5 linked regions of the Cricetulus griseus genome follow. The protein of the gene in region 4 binds, or shares a complex with, the protein of the main gene of each other region. Links are inferred from orthologs where the notes say so. Each region holds a gene or a part of one and is shown on either strand. Other genes may lie near its edges. The genes, in order: Ogt, KAT8 regulatory NSL complex subunit 1, Kansl2, Kansl3 and Phf20.

What was found.
Region 1: Kansl3 (region 4) and Ogt share a complex: the UniProt entries of both Homo sapiens proteins name them as parts of the NSL complex. The link is inferred for Cricetulus griseus from reciprocal best matches to the Homo sapiens genes KANSL3 and OGT.
Region 2: Kansl3 (region 4) and KAT8 regulatory NSL complex subunit 1 share a complex: the UniProt entries of both Homo sapiens proteins name them as parts of the NSL complex. The link is inferred for Cricetulus griseus from reciprocal best matches to the Homo sapiens genes KANSL3 and KANSL1.
Region 3: Kansl3 (region 4) and Kansl2 share a complex: the UniProt entries of both Homo sapiens proteins name them as parts of the NSL complex. The link is inferred for Cricetulus griseus from reciprocal best matches to the Homo sapiens genes KANSL3 and KANSL2.
Region 5: Kansl3 (region 4) and Phf20 share a complex: the UniProt entries of both Homo sapiens proteins name them as parts of the NSL complex. The link is inferred for Cricetulus griseus from reciprocal best matches to the Homo sapiens genes KANSL3 and PHF20.

What each region holds. Positions count from the first base shown.
Region 1 is NC_048604.1:68,615,416-68,618,930, forward strand, and holds part of Ogt (UDP-N-acetylglucosamine--peptide N-acetylglucosaminyltransferase 110 kDa subunit), read right to left. Parts: coding exon 3,448-3,515; intron 3,191-3,447; coding exon 3,050-3,190; intron 2,545-3,049; coding exon 2,444-2,544; intron 1,599-2,443; coding exon 1,445-1,598; intron 1,362-1,444; coding exon 1,260-1,361; intron 944-1,259; coding exon 764-943; intron 1-763. UniProt on the Homo sapiens protein: Catalyzes the transfer of a single N-acetylglucosamine from UDP-GlcNAc to a serine or threonine residue in cytoplasmic and nuclear proteins resulting in their modification with a beta-linked N-acetylglucosamine (O-GlcNAc).
Region 2 is NC_048600.1:117,493,639-117,497,948, forward strand, and holds the start of KAT8 regulatory NSL complex subunit 1, read right to left. Parts: upstream 2,810-4,310; 5' UTR 2,694-2,809; intron 1-2,693. UniProt on the Homo sapiens protein: Non-catalytic component of the NSL histone acetyltransferase complex, a multiprotein complex that mediates histone H4 acetylation at 'Lys-5'- and 'Lys-8' (H4K5ac and H4K8ac) at transcription start sites and promotes transcription initiation.
Region 3 is NC_048595.1:395,010,431-395,013,945, forward strand, and holds part of Kansl2 (KAT8 regulatory NSL complex subunit 2), read right to left. Parts: intron 3,085-3,515; coding exon 2,906-3,084; intron 2,574-2,905; coding exon 2,459-2,573; intron 1-2,458. UniProt on the Homo sapiens protein: Non-catalytic component of the NSL histone acetyltransferase complex, a multiprotein complex that mediates histone H4 acetylation at 'Lys-5'- and 'Lys-8' (H4K5ac and H4K8ac) at transcription start sites and promotes transcription initiation.
Region 4 is NW_023276807.1:11,846,496-11,850,010, reverse strand, and holds part of Kansl3 (KAT8 regulatory NSL complex subunit 3), read right to left. Parts: coding exon 3,476-3,515; intron 3,085-3,475; coding exon 2,968-3,084; intron 2,727-2,967; coding exon 2,625-2,726; intron 2,519-2,624; coding exon 2,447-2,518; intron 1,042-2,446; coding exon 967-1,041; intron 780-966; coding exon 622-779; intron 1-621. UniProt on the Homo sapiens protein: Non-catalytic component of the NSL histone acetyltransferase complex, a multiprotein complex that mediates histone H4 acetylation at 'Lys-5'- and 'Lys-8' (H4K5ac and H4K8ac) at transcription start sites and promotes transcription initiation.
Region 5 is NC_048599.1:23,320,053-23,323,567, forward strand, and holds part of Phf20 (PHD finger protein 20), read right to left. Parts: intron 2,709-3,515; coding exon 2,529-2,708; intron 1-2,528. UniProt on the Homo sapiens protein: Methyllysine-binding protein, component of the MOF histone acetyltransferase protein complex.

The sequences.
Region 1 (3,515 bases), on a different chromosome or scaffold from region 4:
ATGTGAATTCTATTATGATTATTTTAGGGGATTCTGCAGAAGCATTTTTGTGTAAAAAGGAAGGAAAGAAAAGGGGAAAAGAAATTTTAATCTACTACTGTTTTTTAGAACAGATCCCAAACTCTTATCAGTTGAGTTGAGTTTGACAATTGTCAAAGTTGAGTATATAATACCATACACTTTATTTAAACACCAGTGGGGCTTTGGTTGTTGTTGCCTTTAGTTTGTTTTTTGTTGTTGTTTTTGGTTTTTGGTTTTTCAAGACAAGGTTTCTCTGTGTAGCTTTGGAGCCTATCCTGGCACTCGCTCTGGAGACCAGGCTGGTCTCGAACTCACAGAGATCCGCCTGCCTCTGCCTCCAGAGTGCTGGGATTAAAGGCAAGCGCCACCAACGCCCGGCCTTTTAGTTTGCTCTTAAGATGTTCTTATTAAGTGGAGATTTTTGCTTGATTTTGTTTTTGAGGCAGGAGATTGCTATATAGCCCAGGCTGGCCTCAATTCACAATCCTCTTAAGTGTTGAAAGTATTGGGATTATAGGTTTGCACCACTATACCTAGCTGTGATTTTCACCTTACGGAAAACAAGTCTCCATCCTTGTTTGGAGTGAAGGAAGTTCAACTGAACACAGGACACACTGAGAGTGGCTAAGAAAGTTTCAATTTCTTGACTTGGGTGATGTTACCATACCTTACATTTGATTTGTACAATGTTTTTATTTATTTGCATTGTAGTTTATAACGGAAAAATTAAAGCAAGAGTCACCTTATCCAAGCAGAGATTCCCGTGCCTCTCTGCAATAGCCTTCCTGAAGCCATGAGAAAGAGGGTACAGCATACTGTGATGAGGATGCACAGAAGGCAGCCTATTCTTCTCTAGCTGTTCAGCTACAATACTAACCAATTTCTTCATTCGCTCATCATAGTCTGTCCAATCACAGACAATCTAGAGGAAGCAAAAGGAAATTATCATCACCCAGAAAACCTAGCCAAGGATTTATTTTACAAGTCTTTGACTTCCTAAAATAGTATTAGATAACCTCCTAAAAACATGGTCTTGGGGCTGGTTCACTGAAAGCCTGACAACTGGAGTTCAATGCCTGGGACCCACGTGTTAAGAGAGAAATGACTCCTGAAAGCGGCCCACTGCCCTCCACTTGCTAAAAAATAACAATCTCCAGCCAGGCTTGGATATTATGGCACATAAAAATTAAAAAGTGGTAATAATACATAAAGAAAAACACTGGACTATAATTCTTTACCTGCAAGCAATGAGCCAAGTTACAATAGGCATCAGGAAAGTCAGGCTTAAGTTTCAGAGCTGTGCGGTAAGAAGCTATTGCTTCTGGGATATTCCCTGAATCCTGGAAGGAAAGCAAGCTCATAAGGAGTTTCCTACAATGAAACTTCAGTGCTAAGGTGCCCATGTTAGACTAAGTAGCAGTACCTTGTGAATGGAAGCCAGATTGCTGTGTGCATCTGCAAAGGCAGGATTAATCTGAATGGCACGAGTATAACACTGCAAAGCTCCTTGAACATCTTGCATCTCCTTTAGAGTGTTTCCCATATTAGAGTAAGCATCAGCAAATGTAGGACTGATTCTGAAGGAGAACAGAAGGGTTTGATTATCTCCTGTAAAATCTTTAATGTTATCAAAGTATTTGGAAAAGCTGGGCATGGAGGCACACACCTTTAAGTCTAGTATTAGGGAGGCAGAGGCAGATGGATCTCTGTTGAGTTCTAGGCCAGCCTGTTTTACAGAGTTCCAGAACAGGCTCCAAAGCTACAGAGAAACCCAGACTTGAAAAACCCAGATAAATAAATAAATAAATAAATAAATAAATAAATAAATAATAGGGGGGAGGAGAGAAGGGGGGAGGGGAGGAAATGGGAGGGGAGGGGTTGCTGATGTGGATGGGGGAAAGCCCATGAAGCCTCAACCCCACACCAAGAAATACAGGTATCTAAGGAATGCTGAGTGGGAGAAATAGTCATCTACAGTGAAGAACACTAACTGGTTATCTAATACCAAATAGTCAGCTCTGAAAAAATATATCTGAGTAACATTATACATATTGAGCAAATTATATTTAGAAACATATCTGCGCAGGCAGTGGTGGTACACGCCTTTAATCCCAGCACTCAGGAGGCTGAGGCAGGCAGATCTCTGTGAGTTCGAGATCAGCCTGGTCTACACGAGCGAGTGCCAGGATAGGCTCCAACGCCACAGAGAAACTCTGTCTCGAAAAAAAACATAAAAATAAAGAAGGAAACATATCTGCATATAAAAACATACATTTATGCATGTCACAACAATTAATGGAGGAAGAGGCCATGAATCTGAAAGCAAGGAGAGTATACAGGAGGGTTTTGCAGGGAAGGGTAAATGGTACAATTATATTATAATCTCAAAAAGAAGAATAGAAAAAAGCTATAAACTTTTTACCTTATGGCTTCCTTATAATGCATCAGTGCTTCCTGCAGCTTGCCCTGTTGTTGCAGTACACTTGCTAAATTGGAATGTGCAGCAGCAAACTCTGGGAAGACCTACAGAGTCACAATCACAGCTGACATTAAATAGCATAATCTCCCAATTACCTCCCACAACTCTGAGAACTTCACAACATATCTTATCTTCTCTCCACCTTTTCCAAGTTTATTCATTCTTCTGGTCTAATAGCTTAAATTCTACTGCTTCCTCCATTTTATCCCTATCTTCATTTCAAACTTGACATAGGCCTCGCTTCCTGTTACTCATACTGAGTAATGCAGCCTCTTTTCTAAACTCCTACCACACCTACCAACCACTAGACACTGACCTTATTTCTTCCTTGTAATAGCTTTACTCAGCTTACTAGTCATTAGCTTTGTACAGATCTCATCTATGCATAAAATAATGAACTCAGTGTAGGGATGTCTCGTATGCCATAGGTCCTTCCATAAGACAATGAATGATCCTCTTTAAGAAGTGAATGGCAGGCAAACAACTTAACTTCTTTCCCTCTACTGTCACACAGGCTAGCTAGACACCCAGCTACAGCATTCAACATACTTCTAATGCTTTGCGATATAGGCGGACTGCCTCTTCAATATTGCCCTGTTCCCGTTTGATATTGGCAAGGTTATTCAAAGAGTCTGCATGGGTAGGACACAGACGAAGAGCTGTGTTATAACAATCTTCTGCTTCAGCAACCTAGAAAATAAAAAAAAAAAACATTCAAACACTACACAAAAGAATCAGAGAAACCACTGATGTTCTAGTAATTTAACTGCATCATTGAGCCTAATGGCTAGTAATATACCACAAAATGGATATGTTTTAGTATTCTCCTTTCCATCAACCAAAACTCCAAAAACCAATATACCCATCTCAATACTTAACATGTACAATGAAGACTTTTCTTTTCTCCCACATAACAGAGAAATAAAAATAGACTGAAAAATCCTTACGCTGCCCTTCTCTTTGAGAGCATTTGCTAGGTTGCAGTAAGCATCGGGGAAATGTGGCTGCAGTTCTA
Region 2 (4,310 bases), on a different chromosome or scaffold from region 4:
ATTTGCCATGATGTATACACTTTAATTAAAGTCTCATTTCTTTTTATTTAAAAATATAACTTGGTGGTGGTGTGGCAGTGCATGCTTTTAATCCTAGCACTTGGGAGGCAGAGGCAGACAGTTCTCTGTGAGTTTGAGGCCAGCCTGATCTACAGAGATCCAGGACAGTCAAGGCTACACAGAGAAACCCTGTTTCAAAAACAAAAACAAAGGGCTAGAGACATAGCTCAGTGGTTATGAGCACTGGCTACTCTTCCAGAGGACCTACCACATGGCAGTTCACACCTGTCTGTAACTCCTGTCTGTAACTCCTGTTCTAGGGGATCTGACACCTTCACACAGACATACATGCAGGCAAAACGCCAACATACATAAAATACAAGTAAAAAATTTAATTAATAAAATAAAAAAAACTCTAATTTGAAAATATAGAAAAAAACGTACTGTTTCTGCCAATTTAAACGTATTTTGAAATGTTAAGTATAAAAAATGGGAGGAAGGGGCTGGAGAGATGGCTCAGCGGTCAAAGGCACTGACTACTCTTCGAGAGGACCGGAGTTCAAATCCCAGAACCCCTATGCACTTCAACGCTGTTTGTAACTCCCAAGATCTGTCACTCCCACACAGGCATACCTGCAGGCAAAGCACCAATGCATATAAAAAGTAAATACATTAAAAAAAAAAAAAACTGATTTCTAAAAAAAAAAAAATAAAGGTAGAAAATGTGAAGAAAAAAAAAAAACTGTTTATGGCTTATGCCTGAAATCTCAGCACTTGGGAGGCAGAGTCATTAGAGTACTAGGCCAGTCTAGACCATATAGCAAGATTCTATCTCAAAACAACAAAGCTTAAACTTAGCACAGTTTTACACCGATCAAAGGATTGGTAGGAAACATAAAACTAAGGCAGCCACATAATTACATTCTCGAGTAGTTAAGAGATAATAATTCATACTTACTATAGGACACTGACTGTATTTCCGACAAGTCAAAGGACTCTGGTAATTCCCCAGGTTTACCATTAGAGGTAAAACCTTAAACACTTCACACATCTTTAAAAAGTAGGCCTCAATATATTTAATACCTTAAAACCAAGGAAGCTGAAACATGAAATCTAATATACTGGTCATAGAAGTCAGCAAGTCCTGATGGCTCAGCAGTTAAGAATACTAACTAATAGGACCCAGGGTTCAATCCCAGCACCCACATGGCAGCTTACCACTGTCTGTCAACTCCAGTTCCAGGAGTTCTGACACTGTGACACAGATATACATGCAGGCAAAAAACCAACACACATAAATAAAAATAAATGTATTTTTTTAAAAAAGGAAATGAAAACACAATTATACAAGGTCCTCCAGTTCCTAGGCAATCGATTCTTCAGACTGTTTCCCCATTCAATCCCTCCAGCTGTACCATGGGGAAAAGACTGCAAAGAATGAGTCACTTTGGACCCCTTTATATTAATATATGCACTCATCCAACAAGAGCAGCCAGAACAAAAGTGAGGATAAGATCCAGTCTACATTACCTAAAGATTTCCCAAAAGTCCAAATATTTAGGTTACACAGACTGCATTATTCTGATTTACCCACTATACTATTCTGGAATTACATGGAGCAGATCAAAACAATCTTAACTATATCATTATCTAACTCTCAAGGAAGGCGAGGCTGACAGAGGACTTCTAGCACTACTTATCAGTTCTTGGTCCTCCCTCTCACTTCCTCACTTTCAAGCCTTAAGCTCAGTCTTCTGCTTAGCCCTAACCAAGAGTTCTTCTGCCATCTCCGAACAGATCAGAAAGAACCATAAGAGACAAATGGTCACTGTCCCACATTGCCCTTGAAATGAAAGGACACAATGGCTACCTGTTGAAAAAAATTAGTGTAAGGGTTCATGAACTGGCCTAAGGAGCAGCAGATGAAGAGTTGTACACATAAACCTTAATATACTATATGAAACTTCAGAGTAAACAAATGGTTAATGACACATCTTTTGTAACACATGAATCAGCTCTGATTTGCAAAAGTGGGACACACCCAAGTTCATATGACTCTAAAGTAAGTACCTGTTTGAAAATGGACCTCAAAGTCTGAATTGCCAACCCCATAAGCCAGGTTTGGAACAGAATTTTACTAGTATGCAAGCTGTAATAATTTAAGGTTTAAAAAAAAAAAAAAAAAAATGAACTCTGGGGCTGGAGAGATGGCTCAGTGGTTAAGAGCTCTGGCTACTCTTCCAGAGGACCCAGGTTCAATTCCCAGCACCCACATGGTAGCTCACAACTGTCTGTAACTCCAGTTCCAGATACCTCCACACCAATGCACATAAAATAAAGTTAAATAAATTATTTTAAAAAATGAACTCATCATTATAATAAAAGTTAATTTGAGAACTTCATTAATATTTTAACACCAATCAAGAACAGCAATAATACAAATCCTAAGAAGCTAATAGTCCTCAGGATAAGTATCCTGTAAGGTAATTGAAGAGTTGTAAATTCAAGAACATCCTAGCATTTGGAATGTTGAGACAGGAAGTTCATGAAGTTAAAGGCATGCTTAGCAATCTAAAAAGTTCAAGGCAGCCTGGGCTACCATGAGACCCTGTCTCAAAACACAAATAGCAAACAAATATTCTTGGTTCTAAAACACTCATATGAAGTAATAAGGAAAAACCAATACATCTTACCTTAAGAGGCATCCAAATAGCATTCATAGTGTCAGGAATAGTTCAGATGAGCCTCAGAAAGAAGCAGGGAGAGACTAAGAAATCCCCTCAGTTACCACGGATAAAAGTGGCAAGATCTGAAAAGGAGGATGTTTCATTTAGATGACAATAATCTAGAATATGCAAATAGCTTATTCTATCTGGGAAGGATGCTAAGTGCCAACTGCCTTACCATCCTAGAAAGTGTGCAGGTGTGGCACACACTTTTAATCCCAGCACTCAGAGGAGGCTGAGGCAGGCTGTCATCTAGGAGTTCAACACTGGCCTGGTATACTTAGTGAGTTCAGGGTCAGGCAAGGCTACTTGTTGAGATGGTATCAAACACAAAAACAACAACAAAAGGTACAATATACAATTCTCTTTGGAAAGGGAATTTCACATGTATATTTTACATCAGAGACCATAAATTTTAAATAATCAAAAATTACTTATTAAAGATTCAGAAAACCAAAATCCAGGAGGAAAAGTTATTCTCCCATTCTCCCAGAGTATTATTTCATAAGCACTACTGAAAGTGATTTATTAACTCGTCACCGGAAAAAAAAAGTCTACAGCTACTTTTATTTAATAAATGTAAACCTCTCTGGCAACTCCAATGTCCTAACTTTTCTTAAAATTAAGTTTCAGCCGGGCGTTGGTGGTGCACGCCTTTAATCCCAGCACTGAGGAGGCAGAGGCAGGCGGATCTCTGTGAGTTCGAGACCAGCCTGGTCTACAAGAGCTACAAGTTTCAGGACAGGATCCAAAGCCACAGAGAAACCCTGTCTCAAAAAACCAAAATAAATAAATAAATAAATAAATAAATAAATAAATAAATAAAGTTTCAGAGCTGATTCTACATCATCATCATTATAATAATTGTTGCTATTCTTCACTGAAGTACTACAAGTTAAAAAAAAAAAATGGAGGGGGGGAGAAAAGATCCTTCTTTCCCAGAGATCTTTAAAAGCAGCCCAGAGGAATTAATTTTGAAGATGGTGGGTGCTAAGTGTGTAGGGACGCAAAAGGATGGACTAAATGACCCCTTCCTTGTAGGAGCCTTAAGTCCTAGGCCTGAATGAACATTCCAGCTTAACCAGTTACTGCTTCACTTAAAATGGAGGCTTGCCCGCGTAGGAACACAAAAATAACACACTCACCTCTTTAAAAAAATAATTTCTTAAATTCAGAGTCGAGGTCCCCCGTTTTAAAAATAAAATAAAGCACTGGGGTGGGTTTGCTCTGTCTCCGCGTTTGTCACTTCGGTTAGGGAGACTTGGCATCACTTTGCCTACCGCTCACCGGATTTGGGGGGTGGGGACCGGAGGAGTTTGACTCTTGACCCGACTCGCAGGCGAGCCTGAGCGCCCCTCCCCACCCCCGCCCCCACCCGCGAGGCGACGCGACGCGACCCCCAGGTTCCACAGAACCTCGGGGCCGAGATCCAGAGAGCGCCAGTCCCGCCCCTCCCCCGCCTCCGACCCTCGTCCGGGAGCTCCCCCACCCCCTGCGGCCCGCGACTCCTCCGGCCCGGTCCCATTGTTAGGAGGGGCGGCCGGGGCCGGGGCTCGCGGCCGGAGCCCGTGGCCGTTGCCCGAC
Region 3 (3,515 bases), on a different chromosome or scaffold from region 4:
CCAGGACAGACAGGGTTATATAGACCTTGGCTCCAAAAAAAAAAAAAAGTACATACATAAAGTATGGTTGATGCATTCCTATAATCAGAGCACTCAGATGAGGAGTTTAAAGTCATCCTTGGCTCCACAGCCTATTGAGAACAGCCTGAGGTACATGAGACCGGGTCTTAAAAACATTTTTCCCTATATTCTGAAATATACAGAATACAGAAAAAAATTTACTTCAGGACTGAAAGCAAATCTGCCAAAACTTTAAAAGTGAAACCAATATGCACGTATTTAGAATAGTAGTTAACGTCAAAGAAAAGTCAAGTAAAACAGAAAAGAAAAATCAAGAACAAAACCAGGGGCTGGAGAGATGGCTCAGAGGTTAAGAGCACCGACTGCTCTTCCAGAAGTACTGAGTTCAATTCCCAGCAACCATATGGTGGCTCACAACCATCTGTTATGAGATCTGGTGCCCTCTTCTGGTGTGCAGATGTACATGGAAGCAGAATGTTGTATACATAATAAATAAAATCTTTGGAAAAAAAAAAAGAACAAAACCAGAAAACTGTAAAAATTATGACACCCAGTCAGGTATGGTGGCCCACACCTGCAACCCTATCCCTCATGAGGCAGAGGCAGGAGGTTCTTAAGTTCAAGGCCAGCCATGGATACACAGATGCTGTCTTATAAGAATGATGAGAGATAGCTTGGGGCGGCAGGGGGGGGGGGGGGTGTTAAGACCACTTATTACAGAGGTAACCACATGGTGGCTTACAACCATGCAGTACTCTGGTTCCAGTGTATTCAGTGACCTCTTCTGACCTCTATGGAAATCAGACATACATGTGGCACACTACATACGAAGGCAAAACACTTACATAAACCCTTTATTTTGAAAAAAGTAAAAGTAGCCGGGCGTTGGTGGTGCACGCCTTTAATCCCAGCACTTGGGAGGCAGAGGCAGGCTTATCTCTGTGAGTTCGAGGCCAGCCTGGTCTCCAGAGTGAGTGCCAGGATAGGCTCCAAAGCTACTCTGTGTAGTAGAAACCCTGTCTGGGGGGGGGGGGGGGGAGTAAAAGTAATTCTTCCTATGTAAACAAGGTAATAGGCTATGCCTGCATTAATAAGTGATATAAAACACTAACCTAATGACAAGTTTATTAAAATGAAATTAAAGCAGGCATGGTAATGCATGCCTGTCATCCCAGAACTAAGGAGGCTCAGGAAGAATGAATATTTAAGTCTGAGGTCAATCAGGGCTGATCAGGTAGACTCTGCCTCAAAAATCCAAAACTAAAAACAAGTAATAGGAAATTATTTTTCACTCTAGCAGCAGAGAATATAAACAATAGTATGGAAGTCAAATTTTAAAAGGAAACAAGACCTAACCATTATACTTTGGCTAAAATGTTATAAATCTTGTAAATAAGCTTTAAAAATGAAATTGTTAAGATTATGTTTTACAAAGCAATTTAATGGTTACTTTGAAGAAAAAAATCCCATCTATATAACTATAGTGTGAAAAAAATCAGTTACTGCAGTACATTAAGTGTATTCAACAACAATATAAATACCTACCCAACAATTTGGCACACTGCTTTAATCCCAGTACTGGGGAGGCAGAGGCAAGAGGATCGGATTTCCCTGCCAGCCTGGTCTACAGAATGAATTCCAGAGCAGCCAGGGCAACTCGGAGAAACCCTGTCTTCAAAAAAACCAATAAAAAGCTGGGTGGTGGCACACACCTTTAATCCCAGCGCTCTGGGGGCAGAGCAGGTGGATTTCGGTTAGTTCAAGGCCAGCCTGGCTTGCAAAATGAGTTCCAGGACAGCCAGGACTGTTACAAAGAAACTGTAATACATAAGTGAAGACATAGTATCTAACCCTAAGATGATTCAAAAACTAGTACTAGAAGAAACAGAAGCCTGAGCCAGTCAGAGATACATAATGAGATCCTGCCTCAAAAAATTATTAGATTTCAATGGCAATGTTCAATATTTCTACAACTCTTAGATGACCAGGGGTTACAGCAGACCTTAACATATAATTAAATCAGTTTTCCTTTCATTAGACATGAAACCAAAACAAATTACTGAGCACTTTTATTTCCCATTTAAAAAGTCAGAACCATAGAATTTTGCAGCAAGTGTCCAAGTATAATAGCTCATTATTTCTGAGATTTATGACAAGCATGTATTTAAATCCATTTTCTCTTCTCTAGCCAGCCAGTGCTTTTCTGTCTATCTCCCTCCCATTCCTATGTCAAGGTATCTTTCTTCCCTATAACATCTCATGGGCATAACTCAGTTCCAAGACTTCCATAAAAGAATCAAGAAATCTTGCCTTGGAGCAAGATGGTGTTGAACCATGACACTTAAACCCACTTGTATTAATTAACCACATGCCTCACTACATTTCACATACTAACTACATAAAATATGTAAAAGCCTTAGGTGGAGTTACAACTTACTTTAGGGGATCTTCTTGATCACTGTCTATGCTATCAGCTTCACTGTCAGGGTCACCTCTCCATGTCTGATCCACAGTAATGGGTTCCTGGTCCCCATCACTCCAGCTGTCTTCATCTGAGGCAAGGAAGGAAGAATAGCCATTAAGACTTCCCACCTCTGTAACTCCACACATGAAGCTACATTACTTAAGAGATGAACCTGAAACCTTAAAATTCAAATTTTTTAACTTTTTAAAAATTTAACAGAAGGAAAGATCAGCAGATCAGGAGAATGTATCTAAACAAAACAATGTATCTAAGCAAAACAACTAACTAGCAATAGCAATCCTGGATTTCTCACCAAATTCCCAGTAACAACCACAAATGCACAAAGCCTTGAACTAAACCAAGTTCATTCTTTAGCTTCTTCCTTTTTGACACCAGCAGAGAAGACCCTGACATCCTTACCCAGTATCCGGCTAGCTTCGCTTCGACTGCTCTCTGGGGTCTGAGAGCCCAGCTCTGTTTTAGCATATGAGCTCAACTGGCATAAGAGGGTTTCACCCATAGGGCCTGGATTGTTCTTCTTCATTTGAGCATGAAGTGCTAGGGCATTCCTTCGAGCATGTTCGGCACAGAAAGATACCCTAAGGAGACAAAACATTAATATTTAATCAGTTCTTTCTTGAAAGGAGTTAGCAATATTCAGCCACCAAATAACTTTTTTTGTCTTTAAGAAATTTAAAATGATTATTATATTCACACCTTGAAGACCAGTGCGAAAGCCAGGGGTGGTGGTGGTGGTGGTGGTGCACGCCTTTAGTCCTAGTGCTCAGAAGGCAGAGGCAGCTGGATCTCGAAGTTCGAGGCCAGCCTGGTATACAGAGTGAGTTACCCAACAGCCAGGACTACATGAGATGCTGTCTCATTTGGACCAGAAACTTGACTGCTTCCAAGTCAACTCACCCTGAGTTTTGTTTTTGCTTAGTGTGTTATGTGTAATGCTCAAAGTCAAACCCAGAGCCCCATTCATGGAAGGACTCTAACACCATGATATCACCAGCCCACACAAGCTGTT
Region 4 (3,515 bases):
CCCCTGACTGACAGAATACATTGAACATCTTCAATGTAATCCTAAAATACTTTTTAAAAACTATCTGTAGCATAACTGGTCAGCTGTCTTTAATGGTGTTAAGGTCACAGAAAACAAACACTGAAGACTGGGTATGGAGATTTAGTAGTTAGGTCAGAAGGATGTCTTCAGTAAGGGTCATCCTCAGTACATGGTAAATCTGAGTTCAGCCTAGGCTACAAGAAATCCTATCTCAAAAAAGAGACACAGACACTAGGTAGACACTGATGAAATCTAAGTTTGTTATTTAGACTAGACAATGCTATCAAATTGACATTAGTTTCCTCATTTTAAGATTGTATTTTGGTTATACAAGAAACTTAGGTGAAGGATACATGAGATTTCGTATTTTTTGTACTATTTTTACAGCTTTTTGTTTTAAGTTTTTGAGACAAGTTCAAGGGCCAGGCTGGCCTCAAACTGAATCCTTCTGCTTCAGCCTTCTGAACATATATTGGGATTATAGGATGCAACTTTTAATTGTAATTTTGGTCACGCTGGTCTGTCATTACACTGACCCCAGACAAGAAATTTTTTAACATTCTAACATGTTCCCTCTCAGCTCTAGAGCAATGCACCCACCTGAGATTATCATCAGCGCCCCCAACCACCACCAAGCTATTTTCTGCTCTAATCTTTTCCCGGAAGTCCTCCATGGCTTCGGGGTGACACTGTAGAGAATTCTGACCAATGACAAAGAGGACTGGTGTCTTCATGTCCAAGAGGGGATCATCCACATCCTAAAAGAGGAAGGCAGCAGTTTAGATTCAGCCAATTGGTGCTCAGGAAGCACTGACTGACCTTGAATCGGTTCAGAAACTGAACCTGCGTCAGCTGTGAACCTGTGGGAGGCCTCACTCCACTGTCCCACATTCCTGCTGCCCCCACTCCACTGCCAAAGACCAACCAGTTTCACCTCGCTCTTACCCCCCGGGGGCCATCCACAGTAAGCAGAGGAAACCCAAGGCAGACAACTGCAGTGACATACTCCATCACAGACACCTGTAAATAAAGGCACCATTCATCTTTTGGCAAGTGAATTCACTGTACCTCAGCCTCCCCAGACTGCAGGTGGGACTGGCTAGTTTAGAGCCACCAGTCAGTTCCAGCTTTTCTTGCTTGTCCTAGCTTTCATTTTTGTTAGCCATGACATGATTAAGTGTACAAAACACAGGCAGTCACTTCCTAGAGAACTGGAGCCCTGACAGACCCCCACATACACCGGAGCCTGATAGAGTTGTCACTTTTCAGCCCTGAGAGCAACCTCAACTAGAGCCCTCTTGACTGACTTTGTTATTGAGAACAAATATAAGCAAAAGAACATAAATGTTGCCAGGCAGGGAGATACAGCTAGTTCAGAGTAGCACAATTACCTCACATGTGCAAGCCCTGGGTTCCATCCTCAGAACACAGAGAAACACCCCACAACATAGACAAAACTTAATACCAGCCTGTCCCTTAAGTGGAGAAATCTCTTATCAGTGGTTTTCAGGGCTAGTTCCTACACAGCTGAGACTTCTCAAAGTAAGTGACTACTGAGAGGTCTGGCCTCGGGTGTGCAGATTATAGCAGACACTTGCTATCTCACTACTCTAGATAGCATACTTGACTACACTAGTTGAAGAAATGGAGCTTTCAAAAGTCAAGGATACTTACACAAGCTTACATATACATGCCAAAAAAAAAAAAAAAATGTCCATTGATACTTATTAAAGGAAGCAAACACAAATACAACATCAAATTCAAAACTACTAATCTGTCCCCATTTGAAATGTTAAGGAGAGAGCACAGGTATTGAAGTCTGGAAGTGTTTGGAACTCCTCCACCCCTCCAGACAGGGTTTCTCTGTGTAGCCCTGGCTGTCCTGGAACTTGCTCTGTAGACCAGGCTTGCCTTGAACTCAAGAGATCCATCTGCCTTTGCCTCCTCTGCCTGGCTATATTTGGAACATTTTAATACTGTTTTCTTTTCCTAAGAAGTTTGGGCTAGCCCAGAACTCATTATTATAGCCCAAGCTAGCACCAAACTCATGGCAATCTTCCTGCCTCAGCCTACCTAGTGCTAAGATTATAACCATGTGTCATCATACTTTGAAACTTTCTTCAAAATAATCTGGAGCACAGAGAAAGTGGGCAGGAATAAGACAAAAGTAAGCCTGGCTATGAGTTGAACTCTGGTAAAACTAGGAGATCAAAGAATTTACTCACTACTCTATTCTTGCTATAGTAACATTTCCATTACAACATTTAAAAACTAATGAGATTGTCTTCCACAATGTAAATGCAGTTTCCCATGCTAAGTATCTAGCACAAAGACAAAGAAGAATTCAAAGTAATAATAGCAGCACTGTTTTTCATGACCACATTTAAGTTTTCAGTGTTCTCCAAATAAAACAGAAATTACTTACATGACAGGCCACCAAAGCTCCTGTATTCCATCCAATCAAGATGATGGGTTTGTGTGGGAAATGGCTGTGAATCTTTATGGCAAGAAAAAGAAGAGAGTAAATAGGAGACTGTGCATGGGCACAGAGCAATCCCACACTACTGGGTGCCCTTCTGTGAACCAAACCTGGGCATTCTCACCTCCAGCACTTTGCTTCTCACTGCCCCAATCATGTGTTCAAGGCACTGCAGAACTCCTACCCCACTACCATTGTTCAGCAGATGGGTGGCTACAGGAATGACCTAAAGGGAAGAAAGAGCATCCACGTCAGAAGGGCCAAGTTTCAAACCTCAATTCTGCTTAACTCATCCCAAATCTCTGAGACAGGTGATACAAACACAAAAAGGGTTTCCAGAGTTTATACCCTTAGAGATAAGGGGATAAACCACATTTGAGTTCAATAAATTTGACCCCTCCCCCACACCCTTCCCTTTAACCCCTAAGACTACAATCCTACCCAGAACTCCTTGTTCTTACAATTACCTTGCCTAAGCAGGAAAGCTGCGACTGCCAGAAGCGGTGGCGGCGTGAGGCAGGGAACACAGAACTGGAGGGACCAGAGGAGGCGATGAGAATCAAAGGAGAGCCAGGGAGTTTACTCTGAGGAGACAGAATCCCATCCAAGAACCACTGAGTGAGAAGTATTCATTCATCTTTATATAAACTCTCAACAACTACATCCCAACAGCTTATACCAACCACTGATCCTTTGCTGGAGAGACAGCTCAGCAGTTAAAAGCACTCACTGCTCTTCCGGGGAAGCAGAGTTCAATTGCCAGCACCCATGTCAAGTGCCTGTAACTCAGTTCCCTCTTCTGACCTCCATGAACACCTGCACTGAAGTGCAGAATCCCACTTTAAAAATAAATGAATCTTTAAGAAGAACCCAAGCTATTAATGAGAAAGTTAAGCCACTTATCTTCCCTTGCCAAACCTCTAAGGCTCAGTCTGAACATTGTATGTGCCAGTTAAGGCTGAGCAACCAACTTACTGGTTTGTTATGAGAAAGCACACCAACGGCAGGGTCCCAG
Region 5 (3,515 bases), on a different chromosome or scaffold from region 4:
GGAGGCCCAGCTGCCAGCCTTCTCTGACATGTTGTTTATGCCAGCTGCAACTGCTGCCTAGGAGTCTCTCACACAGACATGACTCCATCTAGGTTTGGGAACACCAAAGCTGCGGCGGTAACCTATAGAACAGTCACTACCCAGTAACTATGCTGCATCTAGCAGCCCCTGCTCCCTGTGGCTGTTCTGCTGACATCTCAGCCCGTTTCCTGTTCACTTATATAACACATTCCTGGAGCATGAGTCTTTAGTGGCCTTCCTCCCGGCAAGCTTTCTGTATCATCTGTATTTCCCACAGAGCCCTTGTTTCAAAACAAACCCCAGGAACACTATTCTGCTTCTAGGACAATTGTCTCCCTTTAGCTACAAAGGCTTAAGTCCTGATCATCTACTGCATGCTGCCTCTCATTCAGAGTGGACACAAGACTGTGACAAACAAGCACCTAGGAAACAGATGGGCCTGCACCTTACATTGTACAAAATCCCTCCAGGCAGCAATTGTGCTCTCCTCTCCTGTGTTCACAGATGTGACCCAGCAGCTCATCAGGTGGGATGGGGACACGGCAGGAGGGCAGGATTTGGGACCACACTAGCAATTCATAGAAGCAGAGAGTTTTGAATGAGTTGCTTCTTCTTGCAACTTATCGGGCTCCTTTGTCTACTATAAAGTTAGACTTAACTTCAAAGTCAAGAACTCCACAAATTCCTCAAAGCAAATGGCCTCAGATTGACAGCAATTTTCTGGTTAGGTCTTAACCTATTTTAGGAAGCCTGCAATTAAGTTAAGTTAAAAAGCACACACCTGATAGGCTCATGGGCCACACAGTGCTTTGCGCCCATCTTCAAATGACTACCTGGCACCTTCCAAGACCCTTCCTCCACTCCTGCCGAAATCGCACCTCTCTCCCGGAGGCAGTTAAGAACACTAAGCCCAAGAATGCCCATTCATCTTTGTAAAATGAACAGCCAGAACTCTTTGGCACACAGGAGGACTCAGAGAGGGAGTTCTGAGTTTAGTTCCTCCACAGCAGGCACACAGGGGTGCGGACATTCTATTCTCAGTATTTATTTTAAGGGCTTCTGGAGTTCACATCTTGATTATCCATTCTGTTAGACAAAAAAACACAGGAGGGCTTAAATTGATAAGCCCACTTGGTGATACAGTGGGCTATAGACACAACTTCCCAAAGTAGAATGATTACATATCTAAGACTAGTCTTAAGAAAACAGAACCAGGAGACTTATGCCTGCAATTCTAGCGCTCAGAGGCTGAGACAGAAGAATGGCTAGGAGTTTGGGGATAGCCTGGGCTACACAGTGAGTGCTAAGCCAACTTGGGCTACAAAGTGAGTCTCAAACAAACAAACAGCCTAAAGAACCTAAGTTTGTGAAAACTACAATTCTTTTAGGCATTATGGTAAATAGACCTACTTAAAACTGCAACACTTGTTGGCTTCTAATGCTCTGTGGCAAATGCCTTTCTGTTCACTTTATAATAAACCAGCAACCACCAAGACTATGGAGGTTAGAGCTACTGATCTAGAAACCACATGAATCTATGTTCTGTACATACAGAACATTCACAAGTAAGACAGTTTAGAATAAGGTCTGGAACTTACATGCATTTAACATCTACTGATTAAATGGGTAGATGTGCAACCATACATATACAAACACAAACACACACATACTGGGGGAAAAGATGACAGGGCTAAAACAACTATAAGATCCTAGAAAGCTAGGACAAATCTTTTAGAGACAAAACAATAGAGAAACTAACCAGGTTACCTCTTTGAAGTGATCAATAAAATTGATGATAGTCAAATTTACCACAAGAGAATATAGTAACAAAATCAGAAATGAATGGAGCATAGCATTAAATTAAAGAATTTTTCCAGGAATGGTGGCGTACATCTTTAATCTCAGCACTGGGAAGAGAGAGGTAGGAAGATCTCTGTGAGTTATAGGCCAGCCTGGTCTACATAGGGGACAGCCAGAGCTACATAGTGAGATTGTCTGAAACACACACACACACACACACACACACACACACACACACACACACACACTCACTCACTCACTCGGGCTTTTATTCCAGTATGTATGTATGTATGTATGTATGTATGTATGTATGTATGTATGTATGTATGTATGTATGTATCTTTTGAGATCGCCTCACTGTGAAACCTTGGCTAGCCTGGAGCCCTCTACTTAAATGAGGCTGGTCTTGAACATGTGACAATGCTTCTACTTCTGCTTCTCTAATGTGGAGATTATAGTATAGGTGTGAAGGCCTTAAAATATTACTAATGAGCTGGGTGGTGGCTGGGGTGCTCACCTTTAGTCCCAGCACTCAGGAGGCAGAGGCAGGCCTCGCCTACAGAGCAAGTTCCAGGATAGCCAGGGCTACACGGAGAAACCCTGTCTCAGAAAACAAACAAACAAACACACACCTTATAGTTTAAGTAAAAGAGTAAGTATACACATATACAAAAGTATACACAATTAAGTTCATTCTAAACACACACCTTCAACAGTCGAAACCTCCTGCGCCTCAGCAAGAGGAGACACCGGTTCAGTTTTCATAGTGTTTTCTCCCATTGACTTGCAGTTCAACTCCAAGCCTGCAGCTCCCAGTCCATCCCCAGAGGAGTGGCAAGTTAATACAGATGAGACCTGGCCAGCTTCCAATGGAGAGTTCAACTGACCTAGAGGAAGAAATAAAGAGTGCTTGGGAAATATATATGTAAACAATCAAGAAATAAAGAGTTCCAAAACACACTAGGAAGCCTGAGACGCCTTAGAAGACAATATGTGAGGCCACTCTTCAGGGGCTGGAGGGATGGTTCAGAGTCAGACCACACACGACTCAAGTGCACATCCCAGCAGCACGTTAGGCAGTTCAAAACCACCCGCAACTCCAAATCCAGGGCATCCAATGCTCTTCTGCGGGTGTTGGAACAGACACATTAAAAAGAGAGAAAGGAAGGAAACCAGAGGGAAAAAGAGGACCAAGGTTGGTAGCACACATCTTTAATCCCAGCATTTGAAAGGCAGAGGCAGGTGGAGTTCGAGGCCAGCCTAATCTGCAGAATGAGTTCCAGGCCATAATGAGGTTTCATTTCAAAAGACAGACAGACAGACAGAGCCAGCCAACAGATGCTTCCAAGCCAGACAATCTGTAGTCAATCCCCAGTTCCTATTCGGCAAAGAAAACAAGTCCCACAAGTTATCTCCTGACCACACATCCTGTGGCACAAGTGCAGACATGCACACACAAAAATAAGTAATAGGTGATTTTTTAAAAATTAAAGAAGAAAAAAAAAAAGGCCTTCTACCCATACAGCAAGGGCTATAAGTACTTCAAAGAATTGGTTAAAGTGAAAGAAGGTCAGCAAAAATGCACACAGAGTGAGGCAGCATCAAAAAGGCAGAAAAGCAGGGCTGCCCAAGCCACGTGCTGCCAGCCTAACACACAGAATGGAAAATAAGTAAAAAACACCAAAAAAGCATCC